Linked DNA regions of Coturnix japonica. The protein of the gene in region 2 interacts with the protein of the main gene of each other region in a biochemical or structural test. Links are inferred from orthologs where the notes say so. Each region holds a gene or a part of one and is shown on either strand. Other genes may lie near its edges.

Region 1 (3,819 bases), about 1.4 Mb from region 2:
GTACTTAGAAATCTGAAATAAGCCAGCCATCAATTAATAGCACACAGCCATCTCCTTCCTAGGGGATCCTCGTTGAAGTGTTCTAAACAGAACACAGCTCACAGCAGCCCCCAGCAAAGCAGGATCCAAGGCTGCCAGTAGAAGGGGGAGGAGGAGAAGGCAGACTTCAGAGCAACACCTCTCAGCATAAGACAAGGCCTCACACTGGGCAATCTCAGGCACGTGCTGCAGAAGGCACCAAACCCAGGTGGGGTACAGACTGAGCCAGGGAAGCCTTCCCTAAGGCAAACAAAAAGCCACCACCACCAAACTGTCACATCTCTTGGGGTAAGAAAAAGCAACAAACCCAAGAACCACGTTTGTGTCGCTACTCATTACAAACTTCGTTCGATGAGAAAACCTATTTCATTATGCATAGTTTTGCAACAACGTACATACTTCATTTCACCTATGATGACTTGTCCGAGAATTTAATTTCCTTACAAAGATGTCAACTTCAAAGTTTACAGGGTCAGGAAGAGCCTCGCTCAAAGATAAGTACAAGTTCCAAACCTTTAACATTCCCACAGCAACGGGTAAAGTTGTGCCTCTGGCTACGATGAGCATAGCTCAGCAATATTCCTAACAAGAAAAGAGCTGTCTAAAATAGAAGCCCTTACCTTCCACTCCCAAGCTACACAACCAAAGATTTTAAAGGGCAGAAGAGAGAAAGGAGACTGTAACACAGTGTGAGCTGTGCTGGGGGCCATGAGGCAGCTCCACCAGGGCCACCCGCCAGCCCCATCACCCGCAGGGCACTCAGCTGCCCGCACCCACCAGCAAGATATAAACAAAGTAGGAACCACAGCGCTATCTCATGTTCCAGAGCCAACAGGGCCATTAACACTGCCCTCCCATTTTCATCTCTTTGAACAGAAGTTACATTTTAGCTACTGTTATTTATATTGTGAGCATTTAACCGCAGGAACGCTCCTCACCTTCACTCCTTTGGGTTCTTCTCCAAGAGAAATTATGATACATAAAATATAAATAGAATATAAACATTTCCCAACAGTTAATAACCTACAGACAACATTAGATAAGGTACAGAAACTGAGCATGGAAGGACATGGCTTTTATTTCCTTATGAACAGTGTCTTGATACTTGGCCTGTTTTATGCACAGAGATTCACTGGTGAAGCAACACAACCATTGAACAAAACATTGAGCCTGAAACAACTTCTGCTTTCCTACAGAAATACAGAATTCAAAGATTTAAGTAGAAAGAATAGCACTAAAAATTACATTCACTATGCAAGAAGTAATTTAGAATAACTTCAGAATTCATCTTACTTTCGTGTTAAGTAACTTTTCCCTACAAAGCTTCCAGATCGGCCTCCACATTCTGAAGCAATATACAAGTTTAAATCTAACTTCACAATTTCAAACAGCTTCCCTAATTTATGAGCTTTCAGCCTTGACCAAATGAACATTCTCCTCCACTGAGTTTATTCCAAACGTTTCCTGCTATATTCAATGTCACACCTCTACCCAACTACATTTATGACTCCAGTGCCTCTAAAAATATATACAATATACAGAGCTATATATACAGAGACGCTTTACAGGAGCTTCAGATACTTTCACTGCAACTGAAATTCAAGACCGTTCTGTCTGAAATCTGTAATGAAAAGGAGTTCGAATCACACATTCGTTTCCTCTGCTTGACAGTATTTACAACGTGCTGCTCCACTTCCTACTTGACATGGCATCCCTCATCTCCACCATTAAAAAAGAGGGATATCTAATGAACATCTAATACATGTTCCATTTGGCGTTACTTTGCTCCCCCTTCAATTAACGCTCGCTGCCAGCTCTCCCTATCAGTCATGTGCTCCTCAGGTGTGAGCAGACACAAACAGGGCAGCCACGCACCGCTCCGAGCCGACGGAATTTATCAGCGCCGCAAACATCAAACAGGTGACCTGCCACACTCACGGCATCACGCGCACACACAGCCCGACCATCCCAAGAAATCCTCCATACAAACCACCTCCTGGACAAAACCCCCGTCCCTCTTTGTCCTCGGACAGCGCAGCAGAGCGGGGCTGCTGTCAGGGTGAGCAGCTCGTGTCCATGTTTACGCGTCGTTTCCCCTCCGGGATCGCGGGAGCCCGGCACGGCAACACGCGGAGCGGAGCCGCCACGGCCCCGCGGGGCGCAGTGCGCGCTGCCGCCGGTCAACGCTCGGGGCGGGCGCCGGCTGCTGTCAGCGAACCTCGCCCGGTGCCACCCTCGGGGGCGGCCGCCAAACGACGAGGCCCGACCGGTGCCGGCGGAGCCTGGGTGTGGGCAGCGCCGCCAGGGCGGAGGGCGCGGGGACGGGCGCTGCTCAGGGCCCGGTGCTAAAGAGCGTGTGGGGGGAGCAATGAACACAGGGGGGGAGCAATGATCACAGGGGGGGAGCAATGGATCCAGGGGGGGAGCAATGGATACGGGCGGGGTAGCGCACCCGAGGCGCACAACGGCGCACCCCCCCCGCTCCGCTCCGGTACAGCGGCAGCCCCCCGGGCGCTGACAGAACCGGGCCCCCCGCCGCCGCCGCGCCCCCTGCCCGCCTTCCCCCCGGCCCTCACCCCTTCGCAAGGCCTCGTCGTAGCTGAGGAAGCCGATGCGGGACTCCTTGGCTCCCATGGTGCCCCTCAGTCCATGGCCCGGCCGGCGGGGCGCCGCGGAGCCCGGGCTGCGCCGCTCAGCGCCTCCGGAGCGCAGGGCGGGGGGGGGCGGGGCGGGACGCGGCTGCCGGGGGGAGGAGGAGGAGGAGGAGTAGGCCGCGCGCCCTCCCAGCCGCCTCCTCCATGGCGGGTCACGTGATGCGGCCGCCCGCCCCGGAGCGTCACGTGACGCAGGCGGGCCGTTGCGCTGCCCTCCCTCAGCGCCTCCTAACGGACGGCGCGAGACGGAGCTGAGGAGAGGCCACGTGACACGGCGCTTCCCGCCTCACGCTCGCCGCGCTCCAATGGCCGCCGCCTCCTCACGGCGGTTGTTGTTGTTGTGGGGGCTGAGCTGCGCCCGGCAGCACCGCTCAGGAACCTGCCCTGCGCTTTGCATTCAGCGCCCAGCACAACGCTGGGTCCCGTTGGTTTTCCAGCTGGTTCTGTTACAACATTAAGCCTGGTATCACAGAATCACGGAATGACACAGGTTGGAAGGGACCTCAAGGATCATGTAGTTCCAACCCCCTGCCTGGCAGGGCCACCAAACATACACCTTTACTAGATCAGGTTGCCCATGGCCCCGTCCAACCTGGCCTTGAACACCTCCAAGTTCGGGGCATCCACAACCTCCCTGGGCAGCCTGTTCCAGGGCCTAACCACTCTCCTAGTGAAGAACTTCCCCCTGACATCCAACCTAAATCTTCCCTCCTTCAACTTAAAACCATTTCCCCGTGTCCTGCTATTGTCAGCCCTTTCCAAGAGTTCACAGCCCTCCTGGGAGTAAGTTCCCTTCAGGTATTGAAAGGCTGCAATGAGGTCACCCCGCAACCTTCTCTTCTCCAGGCTGAACAAACCCAACTCCCTCAGCCTGTCCTCATAGGGGAGGTGCTCCAGCCCCCTGATCATCTTCCTGTCCCTCCTCTGGACCCTTTCCAAAATCTCCATGTCTTTCTTGTACTGAGGGCTCCACACCTGGACACGGTACAACAGATGGGGCCTCACAAGAGCCGAGTAGAGAGGGACAATCACCTCCCTATCCCTGCTGACCACCCCTCTCCTGATGGAGCCCAGGATCCCATTTGCTTTTCGGGCTGCCAGAGCACACTGCTGGCTCATGTTGAGT
Region 2 (3,600 bases):
GTCCAGTCAGTTGCTTATTCACATGGAGCTACTGGAGGAAGGGCAGTATGTGTGCTAAGTACTTAGATATATTTAACTAGAAAACAACTGCTTTCGTAAATAGTTTACTCATAGGATTTGGCAATAGTTTTTTTGCTTGTTTGTTGAAGGGAGGGCTCTGGCATTTTCTGAAAGTGCCGAAATCCTTCATGCAAACCCAAAACACCCAGGGCAGACTTTAGCTTAGCGTTGTGGTTAATATCCAGTTTAGCAGCTGTGGCCTTTCACATTTGTAAATATTATTGCTAGTTTCTCATGGCTTTCCTCTCAGAGCTCCTTGTTTAGCTGCCTTGGCTCTAACCTCTGCTGCTTTGGTGCTATGTACACGAAAAGAGCCTATTGGAAACAGTGAGCAAAGTTGGCAGTATTAAGGAAACAGCGTTGCTTAAGTAAGGCCTTTGTCCTAAATCTACGTAGTCCTAAATCTACGTAGTCCTAAATCTATGTAGCTGAATAGTATCTCCGAGGTTTCCAGTTTCTCTTTTCCTCCCTTCCCGTCTACATTCTGAGTAACTGCTGGGAAGATTTATGTCCTTTTTACTGTAAACCAAGTGCTGAGCAGTCACAGGCCTTGCTAAAAGAAGTGAAAGCTCTCTTTTTAACTGGGGGAAATACAGCCCTGTGTTCAGTCCTGCTATTCACACACACGTTCGTGCTTCCTAAGCAGAGGATTTACCAGCAAGTTCATCTGTGTTCACCGAGCAGTAAATGAAACAGCAGAGAAACCTTCCTGCTTTCTGCATGCTCTGGTTATGATATAAGAGCTGTTCTGAAAGGTATAATGAGCTTTAATGAACACAAAACATGCCGCCACGTCGGCTCAAAGCAGGAAGCTGCTGTGTGACCTGTTCAGTGCTTCCTGTTCTGAAAGCAGCAGTGGGCCTGCTGTGATTAAGGGGTATTTTTGCCCCCTTTCTCCTTGTCAGACCCTTCCCTAAGCAAATAACAGGCAAAAAGATGCGGCCTAAACACAACGTCCCCATGGGCGCGGGGCCTGCCCGGCCTCTCCCTGCCCCCACTCTACGGATCTGCGCATGCGCACACCCCCCCACCCCACCGAAATCTGCCCCCGCAGAGCAGGGCCGCCCTAGCAACAGCGCTGACCTCACCGCGCACCAATCAGAACGCTGCAACGCTGGAATCTTCCAGAGCTTTCTTTACAACGGATCTTTCCTTAACAACCAATCAGCAGCCACCTTTCTTACTGCTGCGCCAATCAGCGCCGATCTTGCCACCGTTGGGATTAGAACGTTTCATTAGGCCGTTTCACCGCAGCTCCAGATCCATCCGCGCCCTCAGAACTTTTGGGATTTTGAAGGGTCTCCTCTCTCTACCGAGGACATCACGGACCCCATTACTCCTGGAGGAGGGATTGGAGCGGTAGAGAGGTGAGTATTGCTGGTACCGGGGGGGGGTTCGTTTGGGACTACTTTGAGAGGCGGAGGGATACGTCAGCGCTTTGAGGGCGGGGACTGTGCGGCGCAAGGAGCATAAATAGGGGCGGCGCTGCGTCACAGCGCAGAACACAGCGACTGGGATCGGGATTGCATTGATCGGAGCTCAGGGCCGGAGACGTGAGTTGTGTGGGGGGAGCGCTGAGGGGGGGGAGAGAAGGGACGGTGGTTTTTTGTTTTCAAGGCAGAAGGGGTTGGAGTGAGTCCGCTTGGGGTTGTATTTGTGAGGGGAGGTGGTTGTGGACGGTCTAATCCGGCCTAAGGGCGCTTGAAGAACGGTGCGAGGGGGGGGGGGGGGCAGGGGAAGCTTGTGGCTGAGGAAGGTGGGGTGTTATAAAGATGGCGGAGCGCGGCGCTGTGCGGCCCGGAAGCGGGAGCTGAGTCAGCGCGGCTGCAGCCGTTGTGCCAGTGTGAGAGCACGGGGGGGTGCCCTGGAGTTAAAGGAAGGGGGGTGCTGGGCTCGGCCAGCACAGGGCATTCAGAATTATAGGGTCCTACCTCAAGGAAGAGGTGGGGAACAGGAACAACAGGGTTAGTTATAGCTTATTGAAATCCTAAATGATGTAACGTAATGCAAATTAGTAAGTTGTTCTTTTTTTTCTCGTTTGTAAGGTGTATGTGGACTTAAAGTGCTTTTTAGCTAAGGCTAAAATTTCTGTATGTTTTTCAGGTAAACATGCAGATCTTTGTGAAGACCCTGACTGGCAAGACCATCACCCTTGAGGTTGAGCCCAGTGACACCATCGAGAATGTGAAGGCCAAGATCCAAGACAAGGAAGGCATTCCTCCCGATCAGCAGAGGCTGATCTTTGCTGGCAAGCAGCTGGAAGACGGGCGCACCCTGTCTGACTACAACATTCAGAAAGAGTCCACTCTGCACCTGGTGCTGCGCCTCAGGGGAGGGATGCAGATCTTTGTGAAGACCTTGACTGGCAAGACCATCACCCTTGAGGTTGAGCCCAGCGATACCATTGAGAATGTGAAGGCCAAGATCCAGGATAAAGAAGGCATTCCTCCCGATCAGCAGAGGTTGATCTTCGCTGGCAAGCAGCTCGAAGACGGGCGCACCCTGTCTGACTACAACATCCAGAAGGAGTCCACCCTGCATCTTGTGCTGCGTCTGAGGGGAGGGATGCAGATCTTCGTGAAAACCCTGACTGGCAAGACCATCACCCTTGAGGTTGAACCCAGTGACACCATCGAGAACGTGAAGGCCAAGATCCAAGACAAAGAGGGCATTCCTCCCGATCAGCAGAGGCTGATCTTCGCTGGCAAGCAGCTGGAAGATGGGCGCACCCTGTCTGACTACAACATCCAGAAAGAGTCCACCCTGCATCTTGTGCTGCGCCTCAGGGGAGGGATGCAGATCTTTGTGAAGACCCTGACTGGCAAGACCATCACCCTTGAGGTTGAGCCCAGTGACACCATCGAGAACGTGAAGGCCAAGATCCAAGACAAAGAAGGCATTCCTCCTGATCAGCAGAGGCTGATCTTTGCTGGCAAGCAGCTGGAAGACGGGCGCACCCTGTCTGACTACAACATCCAGAAGGAGTCCACCCTGCATCTTGTGCTGCGCCTCAGGGGTGGGATGCAGATCTTTGTGAAGACCCTGACTGGCAAGACCATCACCCTTGAGGTTGAGCCCAGCGATACCATTGAGAACGTGAAGGCTAAGATCCAAGATAAGGAAGGCATTCCTCCCGATCAGCAGAGGTTGATCTTCGCTGGCAAGCAGCTCGAAGATGGCCGTACCCTGTCTGACTACAACATCCAGAAAGAGTCCACCCTGCACCTGGTGCTGCGCCTCAGGGGTGGGATGCAGATCTTTGTGAAGACCCTCACTGGTAAGACCATCACCCTTGAGGTTGAGCCCAGTGACACCATTGAAAATGTGAAGGCCAAGATCCAAGACAAAGAAGGCATTCCTCCCGATCAGCAGAGGCTGATCTTTGCTGGCAAGCAGCTGGAAGATGGGCGCACCCTGTCTGACTACAACATCCAGAAGGAGTCCACCCTGCACCTGGTGCTGCGCCTCAGGGGTGGCTATTAGTTGTTGTCAGCAGTCTTGTCGAGCAAGATGCACAGCACTTGTGTTTGCACTGTAGTC

The links.
Region 1: the proteins of UBC (region 2) and USP32 form a complex in vitro, tested with the Homo sapiens proteins (2 studies listed by BioGRID). The link is inferred for Coturnix japonica from reciprocal best matches to the Homo sapiens genes UBC and USP32.

What each region holds. Positions count from the first base shown.
Region 1 is NC_029534.1:6,771,797-6,775,615, reverse strand, and holds the start of USP32 (ubiquitin carboxyl-terminal hydrolase 32), read right to left. Parts: upstream 2,770-3,819; 5' UTR 2,674-2,769; coding exon 2,616-2,673; intron 1-2,615. UniProt on the Homo sapiens protein: Deubiquitinase that can remove conjugated ubiquitin from target proteins, such as RAB7A and LAMTOR1.
Region 2 is NC_029534.1:5,348,165-5,351,764, forward strand, and holds the start of UBC (polyubiquitin-C), read left to right. Parts: upstream 1-1,266; 5' UTR 1,267-1,427; intron 1,428-1,488; exon of another isoform or gene 1,489-1,613; intron 1,614-2,163; 5' UTR 2,164-2,169; coding exon 2,170-3,543; 3' UTR 3,544-3,600.